Linked DNA regions of Coturnix japonica. The protein of the gene in region 1 interacts with the protein of each later gene in a pairwise test. Links are inferred from orthologs where the notes say so. Each region holds a gene or a part of one and is shown on either strand. Other genes may lie near its edges. The genes, in order: DACH1, RNF14, C2H1orf35 and FGF12.

The links.
Region 2: the proteins of DACH1 (region 1) and RNF14 interact in binary tests that used the Homo sapiens proteins (3 or more experiments, as listed by UniProt). The two-hybrid records come from large-scale screens. The link is inferred for Coturnix japonica from reciprocal best matches to the Homo sapiens genes DACH1 and RNF14.
Region 3: the proteins of DACH1 (region 1) and C2H1orf35 interact in binary tests that used the Homo sapiens proteins (3 or more experiments, as listed by UniProt). The two-hybrid records come from large-scale screens. The link is inferred for Coturnix japonica from reciprocal best matches to the Homo sapiens genes DACH1 and C1orf35.
Region 4: the proteins of DACH1 (region 1) and FGF12 interact in binary tests that used the Homo sapiens proteins (3 or more experiments, as listed by UniProt). The two-hybrid records come from large-scale screens. The link is inferred for Coturnix japonica from reciprocal best matches to the Homo sapiens genes DACH1 and FGF12.

What each region holds. Positions count from the first base shown.
Region 1 is NC_029516.1:140,895,030-140,898,592, forward strand, and holds part of DACH1 (dachshund homolog 1), read left to right. Parts: intron 1-2,336; coding exon 2,337-2,480; intron 2,481-2,957; coding exon 2,958-3,026; intron 3,027-3,563. UniProt on the Homo sapiens protein: Transcription factor that is involved in regulation of organogenesis. Seems to be a regulator of SIX1, SIX6 and probably SIX5.
Region 2 is NC_029528.1:1,070,897-1,075,220, reverse strand, and holds the start of RNF14 (E3 ubiquitin-protein ligase RNF14), read left to right. Parts: upstream 1-1,468; 5' UTR 1,469-1,583; intron 1,584-2,336; exon of another isoform or gene 2,337-2,470; 5' UTR 2,471-2,479; coding exon 2,480-2,633; intron 2,634-3,117; coding exon 3,118-3,263; intron 3,264-3,585; coding exon 3,586-4,107; intron 4,108-4,324. UniProt on the Homo sapiens protein: E3 ubiquitin-protein ligase that plays a key role in the RNF14-RNF25 translation quality control pathway, a pathway that takes place when a ribosome has stalled during translation, and which promotes ubiquitination and degradation of translation factors on stalled ribosomes.
Region 3 is NC_029517.1:2,070,606-2,074,648, reverse strand, and holds the start of C2H1orf35 (multiple myeloma tumor-associated protein 2), read right to left. Parts: upstream 2,838-4,043; 5' UTR 2,737-2,837; intron 2,713-2,736; exon of another isoform or gene 2,562-2,712; intron 2,002-2,561; 5' UTR 1,990-2,001; coding exon 1,896-1,989; intron 1,816-1,895; coding exon 1,665-1,815; intron 319-1,664; coding exon 273-318; intron 190-272; coding exon 110-189; intron 18-109; coding exon 1-17. Other genes in the region: MRPL55 (39S ribosomal protein L55, mitochondrial), read right to left, coding at 2,996-3,139, 3,231-3,402, 4,000-4,025.
Region 4 is NC_029524.1:11,608,777-11,612,339, forward strand, and holds part of FGF12 (fibroblast growth factor 12), read left to right. Parts: intron 1-2,947; coding exon 2,948-3,051; intron 3,052-3,563. UniProt on the Homo sapiens protein: Involved in nervous system development and function. Involved in the positive regulation of voltage-gated sodium channel activity. Promotes neuronal excitability by elevating the voltage dependence of neuronal sodium channel SCN8A fast inactivation.

The DNA.
Region 1 (3,563 bases):
AAAGCATGTGTTAGTCCTTTATTTTTGTTAGGATAGTGAAATAATTGAGAGTGTTATTTTCTGCACTATACATTATCTGCTTCTTTTGTATGTATCTTTCTAATGACAATATCGCACTGGCAAAAGAGTCAAACCAAAGAGGAATGGATATGAGCACTTAACAGTGTAATGTAGTAAAGCAAATGTAATGAGGATGACTGTCTTCGGTAGTGGATGCTTCCATACAAAAGAAAGTAAAAATAACATATTATTCTTTACAATGAAGAAAGCCAAGTAGGAGAGAAAAAATAAGACTTTGTGATTACTTTGGGAATTTATCCTTCAATGAAAGACTGAAACGCACATTGGAGGCTTTGCCTTACATTAGTTTTAACCAGTACCAAATGTCATGTCTGAAAGAAAGTCTCACATCTTAATAGAAGCATGAGCAGGATGGGATAAGCATACTACATCCCTCTTAAGAAATATTCTGTAAGAAAAGGCTGAAATACCCTTAAAAAGCTGCAGCACAGAAATATATGTACACCGTCATATGCAGGTCAAAGCCCATTAGGCAAATGGGATCTTCAGCATTAGGCAACCAGTATCAATGCCTATCTTTTGCTAGTCATGTTAACACAAGTCAAAAATCTCTACAGGCAGGATATCTGATTTATTATTATTATTATTTATTTATTTATTTACTGTCATTTTGGGGAACATTAAATCCACCGCTGCTACTGTGTATTCTACAGTGCTGCTTATTTACTGTATTGTTTCCTTCCTTCTTTGTAAATATTCCAATTAGTGATTCCTAAGGCTGTAGGATGTGTCTCATCAACCAGTGAAAGTAGGATAATCTCTCTTCTGTGAGCAGCTACACAGTAAGGGCTTGCTAATTCTGGCTCTGACTGCTGTAGTCACATCTACAATGTGTCAGCCATGATGACATTTTAATTTGGAAAGCAACATATGTTTCCTTCTCATTTATTGCAATCACTTTCAAAGTACTTATAATGAAAACATTAAAATGGTGCAATGATTCAAAATGTATTTAGTTTAGCATTTGTAAAGATACTAGCTGTTCTTTGATAGTGTAAGATAGTATGCCTAGAAAGTAGTTTCACTATACAAAATGAGAAAGTGCCAGAATTCCAAAGTCTTGCATGTTAATGATGTAGCTATACTCACTAGAGGGTTTGCGCTAATGTAATAGACATATTTTGTGTGTAAACAGTTCTGTACAGCAACACAGAAAAAATAAATAAATCTAAGACTGCTCAAAAAGATCTTACTTAGCATATACATTAAATAGAAGTAATCATGATGGATCTCTTTAAAAATTTAATGATTTGCATTCTGTGAAAGTTGCAGCTATGACTATTGAAAATGGAGACTGTGAACTGATAGGCACGTATTTTGAACCTTTCCAATATTTCTCACTACACCAGATACAAGTGGTTAATTTGGAGAAGGTTAAAGAGTCAGATAGATAAAACTTAATAGTCAAGTCTAGTATCACCTAGTATCTGGTTTTGGTAATGGTATTTCTGTAGTTAGTGTAAAAATAACAGATTCTCTAGAAAAGGATTATCCAGGTAGATCTTACAGTAAATGAGCCTCTTACAAGAGTGTTTCTGAAAACACTATGGTTGGAGTGTGGTTGAGTAGATAACAGTGTAATCTACAACTTTGTATGATTTATTTAGTGGATCACTTTCACTGAGTAGGAAAAAAAAGTGTTCACAATACTCTTTTCCAATGAGGACATAATCTCTGATATGCTCCTTCAGTCAGGGAACATACAAGTTTTATTTTAGTTCTAATTTGGAAGGAACTGTCTGGAAACATAAAACAGAAAATCATGATGGATTTTCTTTAAAACCTATCATCTTATATGATTCATTTACATCCTATTCCTGCAACCATTTCCTTTGTAGAATGTGAACAAGAAGCAGGAACAACATTTTCTAAGTAAGGGTTTTCTGCACTGAATTGTTATTTATTACTTTCCTAATCTTTTCCCTTACATTCGAGAAAGCGAAGTAATAATTATTTGGCTTGGGGATCTGGCACTGTCCATTTGTTTCTAATATAAAGGATTTGGAATAAGTTCCAAGATTTTCCAACTTACACTTTCACAAATCCTTGTCTGTTTATTAAAAGAAACAGCATGGCAAAGTGGCTCTTTAAATATCTGTGAATCCAGCAAATTTCAGGTAGCTTAAATAGATAGTGTGTAATTACACAATTTATGTGGACTGTTACAGTTGTATTGTTTCTTGGAACCCTTAATACATAATTCCATGGCCAAGTTTCAGATCTGAATTTGAGTACACTGATTTTCTTCCTTCTAGCAATAATTCAGAAAAGGTTAAAGAAGGAAAAGAAGGCAAAGAGGAAATTGCAGGAAGCACTTGAGTTTGAGACTAAACGACGGGAGCAAGCAGAACAGACACTGAAACAAGCAGCTTCAACAGATAGTCTCAGGGTCCTAAATGGTAAGAAGCCAGCTTTTGCTTCTGTGTCATTAATTTTCAATTTAAGTGTCTAAAGAACCTTGTTAGTATGAAATCTATAACATGGTGGGAGAGGGAAAAAAGGAAAATCTCTCTTCTTTCTTTTGTTCAAGGGATGCCTCTCTCTTTTTTGCTTTGTTACTTTATATAGCACGTGCAAATAAATTCATGGAAAGAATGCCCCAACTAGGCCTATTTTATATTATTAGCTTGAGAAGTCGTAGGTTTGGTTTTTTTTTTCTCCTTCTTTTTCTTCCTACCTTTATGCTTGAAAAATCTATTGCTCATTAATCTCCCTAGTCTAACAAAAAATTGTTCTGGCCTCTAGTCATTGTTCAACATTAAAAAAAACTGACAAAGGTTGATTGTATTGTAATTCAGCTTTAGAGTAACAGGTTGTAAAAAGGGCCATAAGAATCAAATGAAATATGTGTCAGTCTTACCTTTCTATGCTTCTAGACTCTCTGACCCCAGAGATAGAAGCTGACCGCAGTGGGGGCAGAACAGATGCTGAAAGGACAATACAAGGTAAGAATTTGCAAAAGGCTATAAATCTAGATCTTGCTATATGAGTTTTTCCTCAGCTTTAGAATGCTATTCAAGCATGTAGCCTACCATCTGGGCCACATCAAAACAAGTTCAAACAAGGTCAAGTTCATCTTGCTTTATAGGAGAGAATATATTCAGTGGCGATAGATTTTCTTTAAATTAATAGGTCATTTCTGTTTATCTTCTGCAATTAAAGAAGAATAATTAATTTGAAGCAATATAGGCTTTAATCTCAGGCATGCAAAATGCAGTTTTTGTGAATATATAACATTTAGGATAACTTTTTTTTAAAGGCTGATTTAAAACAATTTGAGCCTTTCAACTATACAAATGGGTAACATTCAAGGCAAGATGAGAATTTCATAGCTAATATTCAGTGGCAGTTCCTGAAAGGTGTGTTTCAATAAGCTACTGTGAGCATTAATGATGAATAAACTGTTTATTCACTTCCTGGATTTTTCATTTACCACATCCCATTATTTACAGTTTAATAAAACAAATCTGCTGAGTAAATTT
Region 2 (4,324 bases), on another chromosome or scaffold:
GAATACAGATTGAAGCAAGCAAATACCACAGCACTCTTGGTAATCTTCAGAGAGGTTTGGTCAGTGCCTGAAGTCAGAATGCTTAGGTAGCCAACTGCTCGGTCAGACCAGCAGTATTTCTTGCCATAGTGATTGTAGCTAGAGGCTTCTGATATTGTTACTGCACCTGCAGAAGCAGCCACGAGCTGTCTCCATGTTAAAGCATGTTCATGCTGAGTCAGTCTTGTTTTGAGAAGGGAGACTGCAAACGCTGTAGTCCAGTTTTCCATGCTGTTCACAGCAGTGCTCATCAGGAAATGCCACTAATGGTAGGATGGTGAGACAGGGATGGGGAGGGAGGCTGCTCCTCAGGGCCTGCAGCATCCTCTATCTGCTTACCTTAGTCTAGCCTGCATTTAAGCATTAACACACCTCTAGGTTTATCTTTACCTGCACCTGAACAGCTCATACTGCCACGAGGTTAGTGGTTAGTGTTCCCATTACCTTTATTCCTTAGTGGGCATCATCACATCACTGATAGCCCCAAATCAGGTTCATTTACCTGCTCTGTAGAATAGCAGCTGTACGCTCCTAACAGCTCAGCCATGGATGTGCTCTAACCATGAAGTAGACGCCCAGGTTAGTTACATGAGCGCTGCCTGCAGCTCGGGGGGTGCTCATAGAAGGAGGGCTGTGTTTCAGCTGCCCGCACTGAGCGCTGACTGATGCCTTCCCAACTCCTTGCAGGGCTGTGCTTGCTGCCATGAGGCCTTCATTTGGAATGCTTGGTTTTCTTCTTTTCCAGGAACAAAGCGTTTTCATTTTCTATGAGTTTTCTGCAGTAATTTGCTTCTAGTACTGATTGTCATTAAACTTGCAAACATGAATTTGTATGTGTTAAAGCTGACGTTGAAACACAGTTCAGCTGTTGGAAGAAATAAATGCACTGGATTCTACTGGATGACTCTGACTGTCTGAAGCCGTTGATTGTGAGGAGAAGTAATGATGGTGTCGGGGGGTGTGAGCGCGGTCTCCTTATTGCCGCTGTTCCAGGAGGCGGGGATGGGTTACGGGTGTGTTATTGGGGTGGGCTACGGGTGTGTTATTGGGGTGGGTTACGGTGTGTTATTGGGGTGGGTTACGGTGCGTTATTGGGGTGGGTTACGGTGCGTTATTGGGGTGGGTTACGGTGTGTTATTGGGGTGGGAGTGGAGCTGAGCTCCGGCTGCAGCTGTTGGTTCGGGCGGAGCTGATGGCGGGGCAGCACAGCTGCACCTGGCGCTGTTTTGCAGCTGTTGTCGTGGCTCCCGTCCATGCGGGGCAGCTCCTGCCGCCTTCCCCGGCCGCGTGCGCTCAGTGACCGCATGGTGCGGGGCGGTACCGGCCCCGCCGAGGGACCCCGCGTTCCTCCCGGCCGCAGGGGGCGCTGTGGGGACGCGGAGCGGGGCGGGCGGAGCCGGGCGCTCTGCGCTGTCAGCAGCGCGGCGGGGCCGGGCCGGGTCGGGGCCTCCGCCCTCAGCCGCTCCTTCCCGGTCCGTCCTTCCCGTCCGCCGCGGTGCCGGCAGCGCCACGTTCCGCGTCCGCCGGGCCGCCACGAGACTGAGGTAACGGGGGGAGCCGTGCCGGAAGAGCGGGCCGTGCCGTGCCGTACTGTGCTGTGCTGTGCTGTGCCGTGCTGTGCTGTAATGTGCCGAGCCGTACTGTGCCGTACTGTGCCGAGCCGTACTGTGCCGTGCCGTGCCGGCTTCGCCGGGACCCGGGTGCTGCGGGCGCCCCGTGCGGCCTCGGCTCCGCCTGGCGCCGTCACTGCGGCCTCGTATCCCGGCCGTGCCGTGCGGAGCGTGTCCGGGCGGCTTCTCTTCCCGGCTGCCTTCGGTTCCGTTCCTGCTCGGTGCGGGCGGTGCCGATCGGACCCGCCCGGGTGCGGCGTGTGTCTGTGCTGAGGGGACTTTGACCCTCCGCTCCGTGCCCGCTCGCTGACAGTGCGCTCCGTGTATTTGTGCGTGCCGCGCTCCGGGCTGGGGACGGATCCGCAGCTGTGCGGGGAATTGCGGCGCCTCCTGCCGGACGCAGCGCGGCTCGGAGCTTCCAGCTGAGACCTGCGGCGCTTCTCTCATCGCTTTATAGAGCGCTGCTCCAGCCGTTCTGTCACTAACTCGGTTCCGTTCTCTTCCGCTCCGTTCTCCCTTCCAGACGCCGTGCCATGTCCCGCTGCCGCTTTCCTTTATCTCTCTGCTGTTCCCGCAGCTGCTCTCGGCCGCTGGGCACCGTTTGCTTTTTGCCTCCTCCACGTTCTGTGGGTGTTCCCCATGGTGTAAATAAAGCTCCCAGCACTTCTCAACTCGGAGACAAAGCCTGACTCTGTCCTATGCTCCCACTGCTTACTTTGGGTCCTGACTCTTCCTGTGGAGGTGTAAAACAGACCCAGACGTGTAGTTTGGATGGGACGCGTTAACTCGGTTGATGCTGTAGAGTGGTGTTAATTCCACAGACCATTTAAATGTCTTCAGAGGACAGAGAAGCTCAGGAGGACGAGCTGTTGGCGCTGGCCAGCATCTACGATGAAGATGAGTTTAAGAGAGCGGAGTCGGCACAGGGAGGAGAGACCAGGATTTGTTTGGAACTGCCCCAGAACTTCAGAGTTGTTGTGAGCGGTGAGTTGTGATGGCTGCTCTTGTCTTTACGTTCACTTTGACCAGGTGATTTTCTGGGGCCTCCCCAGCTGCTCCCATGAGCTGTAGGGATATTTACCTGACGGAGCCGTGTGGGACCCCTCCTTGTGTCCATCGCTGGGGTTGGTGTCGGGGAGGGCACTCAGCCTTTTGGATGCAGCCTCTCCATAGAGCTTCAAAGTCAGAGCTCAGTCATGGTGTTTCTTTGGGGTAATCAAGTCAATATATTTATTATTCCCCTGGGGGTGTTTTCCTTGCACTTGGCTCCTGCAGGATCTGCTATTTCACAGCACTGCTGTGTATTGGTTTAACCCCATACAACCTCATGGCACTTTACTGCACCATTATTTGGTGTTGAATGAATCACTTTAAACTGAGAAGTCTATCAAACATACAGAGGGGTCGCGTGTGCCGTCCTTTGGTTCTCACCTCTTTGTGATGTCTCACCCTGTCTCCATTGGCTCAGGCATTTCTGCAGAGAGTCCGCAGAGCTTTGAATACACCGTTCACTTTCTGCCTCCACTCGTGCTGAATTTTGAGCTCCCACCAGACTACCCGTCATCCTCCCCGCCTGCCTTCACTCTCAGCAGCAAATGGCTCTCCCCAGCACAGGTTTGCAGATCAGTTCTAACATTATAGCAGAGCTTTTGTGGTCATGAGTGTATAATTAACACCATTAGCTGTGGTGGATGTCAGTATAGTAGATGCAGTTATGATGTACGTGGTGACGTCTCTTTTTCTTGGCTCTTTTGTTTCCTAGCTGTTCTTACTTGGTTACCCTTCTGACAGTTCAGTGTGTGCCTTACGAGGCGCTATTTCTATGTCTTTTATGTATTACCCATCAGTTCCACAATTTGAGGTGTAGGTTTGCACCATGGGAGCTGTCACGAGTCCCCAGGACTCACTGAAGTCTGCACTGGTTTCTCTTTCCCAGCTCAGCGCTCTTTGTGAGCATTTAGACAACTTATGGGAAGAAAACCGAGGCTGTGTGGTCCTGTTTGCCTGGATGCAGTTTCTGAAGGAAGAAACGTTGAATTACCTGAATATTTCATCCCCATACGAGCTCAAAATGCGCCAACAAGGGAGTACATGGGGCAGGACGCCTTCGGTGCCTCAGGATGCCAAGGACTGTGTTGGTGCAGTGGGCTGTGCTGCGGCTGAAGAAGGAATTGATAAGAGAGCTGTACAGGACGTGGAATCTTTGTCCAGCCTGATTCGGGAGATCCTGGACTTTGATCAGGCTCAGAGAAGGAAGTGCTTTAACAGTAAGATGTACATGTGCAATATTTGCTTCTGTGAGAAGCTGGGCAGTGAATGTATGTACTTCACCGAGTGCAGCCATGTGTACTGCAAAGCCTGCCTGAAGGACTACTTTGAAATTCAGATCAGGGATGGGCAGGTCCACTGCCTCAACTGTCCAGAACCCAACTGTTCTTCTGTTGCTACTCCTGGTCAGGTAAGGGCTGTGCTGAACCCAGTCTGGGTTATCATGGCGAATACACACAGGGAAATTCTTTCTCTGAGCCACACAGATTCCTCCAGGTTATAACTGGATTATCAGGTACATATTTTGCCTGCTGGCAAAATGGTGGCACTGAACTGATGTCCTGTTATATTTGGTGCTGCGTGTTTGTTCATCCTGTTATTTAACTGTCATCAAAATAGCATTTCTA
Region 3 (4,043 bases), on another chromosome or scaffold:
CCCGCCCGGCGCTGCCGCTGGGGGCAGAAATGACACCCATAAAACCCAACATAAACGTTGTGTTTTGTTTTTAAACAGCTGCTCTGAAATGCAGCATTTCAGTGCTCACCTGGAGCTGCCCAAGCCCACCACCCGGTCCATGTCCTCGGCTCGCTCTGTGCTGTCCCGTTTGCAAACCTCAGCCAGGTCCTGTGGGCAAAACATTGAGAGCCCATAGGAACACAGAGCACGGGGGATGTCCTGGCCTATAGGGACAGCGGGGATGGCCTCACCTCCTTGCTGAGGCCTGTGGGCTGCCTCTTCACGTTCTTGTAGCCCCTAGTGACAGAAGCAGGCAGTCACAGCATGGCCCCATTCAGAATGGACACATAAGGATCCTCAAGTCTAAACCCCAGCTCTGCACAGCACCATCCAAACCCCATTTTGGAGTATGAGAGCCCACCATTCCATGCTCAGCATTCCACGCCTACCACTCCATTATACCCAATATTCCATGCCCACCATTCCATGCCCAATGTTCCATGCCCACCATTCCATGCCCATTATTCCATTATGCCCAGTGTTCCATGCCCATTATTCCATCATACCCGCCATTCCATCATGGCCAATGTTCCATCATACCCAATGTTCCATGCCCACCATTCCATCCCCACTATTCCATCATGCCCACCATTCCACGCCCAATGTTCCATGCCCACCATTCCATCATGCTCAGTGTTCAAAGCTCACCATTCCATCATACCCAATGTTCTACGCCCACCATTCCAAGCCTACCATTCCATCATGCCCAATGTTCCATGCCCACCATTTCATGCCCACCATCCCATCATGCCTACCATTCCATGTCCAATGTTCCATGCTCATGATTCCATCGTGCCCAGTGTTCCATGCCCACCATTCCATGCCCATTATTCCAACATGCCCAATGCTCTATGCCCACCATTCCATACCCACTGTTCCATGCCCACTATTCCAAGCCTACCATTCCATCATACTCAATGTTCCATGCCCACCATTCCACACCCACCATTCCATGCCCACCATTCCATCATGCCCAGTGTTCCATACCCACTATTCCATGCCCACCACTCCATCATACTCAATGTTCCATGCCCACCATTCCATGCCCATTATTCCATCATGCCCAATGTTCCACACCTACCATCCCATGCTCACCACTCCATCATACCCAATGTTCCATGCTCACCATTCTATGCCCACCATTCCATCATGCCCACGATTCCATGCCAAGTGTTGCATGCCCATCGTTCCATGCCCATTATTCTATCATGCCCAATGTTCCATGCTCATGACTCCATCATGCCCACTGTTCCATGCCCACTATTCCATGCCCATTATTCTATCATGCCCAATATTCCATGCCTACCATTCCATCATGCCCAATGTTCCATGCCCAGTGTTCCATGCCCACCATTCCAAGCCTACCATTCCATCATGCCCACCATCCCACACCCACCATTCCGTCATGCCCACCGTTCCATGCCCGTGATTCCATCATGCCCAATGTTCCATGCCCGTGATTCCATCATGCCCACTGTTCCATGCCCGTGATTCCATTATGCCTGATGTTCCATGCCCACCACAGTTCAGACTGTCTATTTTTGGGGAGGGTTGTCACAGGGGGTTTGTAGGGAGGTGCTCACAGTGCTGCCATCATGGCCTCCTGCTCAGCCAGGCGCACGGCCGCCAGCTCCTCCTCACGGGACAGCGGGGTGGGCTCCTGCTTGCCCTTGGCGTACCACGTCAGGTCCTTGCCCTTCTGCCAGCGTCCCACCGGTGCCATCAAAGAGTTTCCTGCAGGGATACAACAGCTCCACATTATCCCCAGTCCTTTATCTTCACCCCACACGCAGGGCTGGGGATGAAGGCCTTACCCAGGTAGTTCTCGCGCTGTTTGTCTGTCTTGACGTCTTCCCAGCTGAACTGGTCCTGGCCCCCCCGGACCCCTCCTCGGGATGAGCCGAACATGGTGACGGGGTGCTAAAAGGATGGGCCCTGTTATCATGGCAGAACAGCAGGCTGCCCCTGCAGGGCAATGGGAGGAGGAATGGGGAGGCACAGGGCCACCCCAGCAATGCATTGTGGTGGGATGAGGGAGATGAAGGGTTCCCCTGCAGTGCAATGAGGAAGGAGGGCAGGGAGGTGCCCCCTATTGCAATCCTAAAGCCATAGGAGGTTTTAGGTATCAAGCAGGGGTCACGATGATGCCTTAGTGGTGGGGGCTGGGGGGGGGTTGTAAAGAATAGAGGGGAAGGGTAAAGTATGGGGTGGATTCTACAATGTCTGGAGGTGGAGGAGGGTGCACAGCTTTGGGGAGGGGGGGGGTTACATGATCAGTGGGGTTGGAGTCTGGAGATGGAGGGTTGAATGGGTTTGGGGTAGAGGGGGACTGCAAAGCCTGGACATGAGATCTGTAGTGGGTTGGAGGAAGGCGACTGCATGACCCATTAGGGACACACGGGCTGGCAATGGGCTTGCATAGGTTAGAGAGGGGACACATAGCTTGGCAATGGAGGTCTGAGTGGGTTGGGGGGGGTTACCTGTACTGGCAATGGGTGTCTGTATGAGCTGGGACAGCCCAACGGGGGCTGCACAGCTCGGGGGCACGGGAGGGAGGGGACCGGGGCCGCACACCGGGATCATAGAGACGGTGGAAGGGAAAACGGCCGAACCCGAGACCCCCAAAGCCCGACCCCCCCCAACAACGGCACGCACCTCTCCGGGCCGCGGGGCCCGCGCACTGCAGCCCCTCCCCGGGTGGTACCACCGGGCCCGGAGGGGTGGAGGACGGTACCACCGCAGCGTGGAGGGGGAGAAGAGGAGGGGGGAGGGAAACGGCCCAAAGCAGGCGTAAAATGAGGCAAAACCACCTAAAAACCCTAATAAATCCTTAACAAAATGGCTTTTATTTCTATAGCTGCGTCTGTCAGCTCGGTAAGGAGGCCTTGGTGGGAGGTGACCCCAAATCGGTGCTTTATTTCTTCCAGAATTTCTTGTATTTCTCCAAATCCAGCTCCTCCAATGTCTCCTCCTGCTTGACCCGCAGTTTGCTGGGGAACTGCCGCCTCAGCCGGGCCTTGCGCTCAGCCTCGGGCAACGTGCTGCTATCCAGGGGCAGCTGCAGGGGGAGGGATGGCAGAGGGTGAGGCTGCAGCACCCAAAGCAAAGCACAGCCCTGAGTGCACTCATTGTTGTGTCGAACCTCTTACCATGAGGATCCTTTTGGGCTCCTTGTAGCGGATGTGGATGGTGGAGCCGTCGGTGCGGACCAGCAGCAGCGGGTAGAGGCGGCCGAACACCTGGCGGCGGAGGTGGGTGATGGAGGTGCGGTTGGAGTTGTGGCGGCTGCAGGATGTGTGAAGGCAGCGGGGCTGCAGGGCACTGCAAGAGGGAAAGCAGTCATGGAGCTGTAGCGTTATTTGAGCTGGAAGGGAACTGTAAGGGTTGCAGAATCATAGAATCATTGAATGGCCTGGGTTGAAAAGGCCCATGATGCTCATCCTATTCCAACCCCCTGCTGTGTGCAGGGTCACCAACCAGCAGCCCAGGCTGCCCAGAGCCACATCCAGCCTGGCCTTGAATGCCTGCAGGGATGGGGCATCCACAGCCTCCTTGGGCAACCTGTGCCTCACTGCCCCATTGCCATCTGCACACAGCATTCCAGGTGAGGTCTCACAGCACAAGAGCAGAGCAATACTTGGTATCCAGATAACCAACAAACTGCCCTTGGACGGGTTTTCAAAGAGGCCTTGAAGGGCACATTAATTAGATGGGACACTGGAGAACAGAGTTTCCTGCCTGAATTTGATCTGTGGGAAAGCACCAAGCACCAGGGCCTGGACTACCCCAAAATACATAGTGTCCCCAACTACATAGTGTATCTCCTGAGTGTGTGAGGGTTGATTACCACAGGGCAGGTGATGAACCCGCTCTTCAGACCCCACACTGGGGCTCCCAATGGCCGAGCATCGCTCTCACCTCAGCGCTCTCCACACAGCCGCCATTGAGCTCTATGCGAGGGG
Region 4 (3,563 bases), on another chromosome or scaffold:
GATAAGTTGGCTTAGACCCATAATAAAGTAAGCATGCAGAGTTTAAAAAGTGTGATGCGTCTGATAAACTGCAGTGATCAATGTGTTTGTGGCCAAAGGGTTTAGCAGTGGAGTGTGATAAAAGTGCTATAATCAATAAGCGCTGACAGGTATAACTCTGGTTGTGGGAGAAGATGGTAAAATGCATGACAATATCAGCAGAAGCATGAAATGTCTTAATTTTTTTTCTGTCTTCTGCATGTAAAACCAAAGAGTATGTCCATCCTGTGTGCTTGCACATGGCATAGAAAATTTAACTTTTGCAACAGAAGGAAAGTGTTCTGTTTTGTTTTTTTATTATTACACCAGACCCCATAGGGTAGAATTATAGAATCATTAATGTTGGAAAAGACCACTAAGATCATCCAGTCTGACCGCTAACCACGTCCCTCAGTGCCATCTCCACAATTCTTGAACAGCTGCAGTGGTGGTGATTCCTGACCTCCCTGGGCAGTCTGTGCCAGCGCCTCACCACTCTTTCAGAGAGGATTTTTTTCTTTAGACTCAACCTGAACCTCCCCTGGTGCAACTTGAGGCCATTCCCTCTTGCTGTTACCTATGAGAAGAGGCTGGTCCATGCCTCACTCCTACCTCCTTTCAGGGAGTTGTATAGAGTAATAAGGTCTCCCATGAGCCTAGTGGAATTGTCCATTATAATAGTTGATAGGGTACTACTACAGGTTGTCCTCTTCCCCATCCTTGTATCTGGTATTTCAAGTTAAGTGGGATTTTTTATTTTTTTTTCCCTGACACAAAATGAGACATTTACTTCTATGCTTGTTTGAGGTTTTCTCCCATGTTTTTACATTGTTGTAATAAGGCTTAAAAGTAAGAAAACTTACAAGCTTTGAAATCTGTTCCAGAACAAACAAGATGAAATATTCATTTAAAGAATGACAACAAAAGGCTTTAACTTATTCAGAGACTTTTAATGATTTGATTGCTGAAACTGTTCTGAGAACTTGCAGAGTTTTGATTAATGCCCAAATGCTTGCAGTAGAGGAAAATGTTTGCATCATAAAACTACTTTGGCCATCAGTCACCTCTGTCAGATGCGTGCCCTTCAGCTTGCCTGCCTGCCCACTTGCTTCCCTACTCTGCAACATGTTGTAGGAGATGCTTTGCCATGCCTGCAAGCCATGATTGTGAGCTGTGGGACCAAGAGAGCTTGGCAGTGCTTTTCCTACTGTCATACAGTGCAGTGGGATTATTGGTGTGCTCTTTTAGCATGCACTTGTGGAGAAAAGAGAGTTTTGGACATGGAGGTACTTCCAGGTGGAACTTCTCCCCACTAATTCTGGGTGTTATCACCCCGCTGCCTAATGAGTGCTTTGAATGGTCTGTCACAAGTTTTCTATGGAAGATAAATTGGCTGTACAGAAAGAATGATGATGCCCACCTTGCTTCATTATTTGCAGTAGCATGCTCCATTTTTCAGTGGGGGAAAAATTAGGGAAGGGAAATTGCTTGTAAATAGACTTGTTAATTACAGAGGGTTTTAGACCTTGCCAGTAGTGCGAAATTGATTGAAATATAGGCTTGCCTTGGTTACTGTGCTTCTCAACTGTAGAATTATGTTGTAATGTAGCTCTTTGGTGCCCAGTAGCTACACTGGGGCATGTTTGTCTCCTCTTGGAACTGTAAGAGTAGTGCACTCCTTGACTCTTGTTCAAAGACCAATACTTACACTGAACTTTGTATGCATCTATTGAAGCCCTCTGCTTGCTTCCTATGAAACTGCATAAACGTAGGCACTGATTCGTGTAAGGCTTAAGCACACATTTTGATATTTCATTGAAGATGGTGCTTATAACTGCAAGAAACTGTGCAGTTTCTGGGAGTTCAACAGATCTCTTGTGATCTCTACAGCTGTTTGCAAGGAAGCAACAATTTACTTCTTTTTTACTACTTTTCTCTCCATATTTGCTTGAAATGTTTTCCTCTTTAAAAGGGGATCAACAACCACTTTTGTCTCATCCCTTCTGTAGTAATTCACATAAAGGAGGCTCTTGAGAAATATCTCATGATGGAGTTAAATCTATATGTTACCTGGCATGTGTGTGTCTAACAGGTCTCCTTGGAGAGCAGTGTTGGCATTGAGTTGTCTTGTAGCCATTACGGGAAGACTTCTTTGTGCTATGCTTGCTATAGTGTCATATGTAGAAGTTTGTAAATGGTCTATAAAATGAATCAGTTTGAGGATTATATCCTTACAGTCAGTTGGAAAATGGGAATGCTTCATTGTACTCTGTCACTCAGTTCTTCTTCTCCTCTCTGCCTACTGCTGGGTCTCCTCTGGGCCCGAGACCTCGAATGAAGCATTCCCACACTTCTGCTGGACCCTGTGCTCATTTTTCCTCACCCTGAGCTCCCCAGGGCAGAGTCCAGTGCTGAAGCACAAGGTCCTGCAGCACCTGGGTGCTCTTGTCCTACAGATCTCAGTGGGAACAAAGGCATGCTAATGCCTGAGTGTTCAGTGCTGACAGGCCTCTCTTTTGAGCCCCTTAGAAATTCAAAAGCTCGACCATACATAATGGGTATGCTTACAGGGAAAGGTCTTTCACTGAGATCCAGGGGCTGTTTGAAATCGAGCAGTATGAAATAATTGGCAGGAAGTGGCTGCAGTGCTTTAGTCATTTGGATGGCAGTAAAACTGAGTTCTGAAAGGTCGTATGTTCTGTCCTATCTAGTGCTGCTTCTGAATGAGGAGCGGAGCTTGTGTCAGGTTCTGCATCTCCTGTCCGTTTTAAAAACTGCTTTCAGAGTCAAAGCTATGGCTGCAGATCCTTCACATAGCTGGAACAGGATTTGTTTCCAACTCAGCATTGGGGTGGGTTGGCTCTAGGGCAAGAAGCAGCAGAAGCCAAACGAGCTGATGTCTCAGTAACGTTTGCTTTTCTTTCTGCAGCCCTTTTCAACCTAATTCCTGTGGGTCTTCGTGTGGTGGCAATCCAAGGGGTGAAGGCAGGCCTGTACGTTGCCATGAATGCTGAGGGCTATCTCTACAGCTCAGTAAGTACTTGCACCCATGGTGGCTGGATTTTGTAAGCGGGAGGGAGGACTTGGAGGCAGTCCCATATTGGAAAGCCTGTAAAAGCAGGAATGGTGGGAGCTGCTGCAAAGCCGTGCAATATTCACTTCAAAGTGTCTCTGCGGAGCTTCGTGGTGATGTTTCCTGACCTGTGAAGATATACTTTGCATTCCTTTGAGTAGTTACTTAATGTAGGTCACGTTGTAGAGGAGGTTTGGTGGTTTGCTGGTTATATTCTGGTTTCATATTTGTGAAATGGGATGGACTGAATGGAATTGCTTTTGAATTGCACCCAGAAAACTGATCGTAGCTGGTGCTCTGATGGGTCATACTCAGCTTATGGCTAAGGTGTAAATCCACTGTAATACACTGACTTCATTTAAATGGTTCTGGACTGTTCTGTTGGCAGTGCTTCAGTGGAGCAGAATTACCCTGTATTTGTGTGGTCTTTTTAATGCACATAAAAGATAAGTGAGGCATTTTTTACTGACTA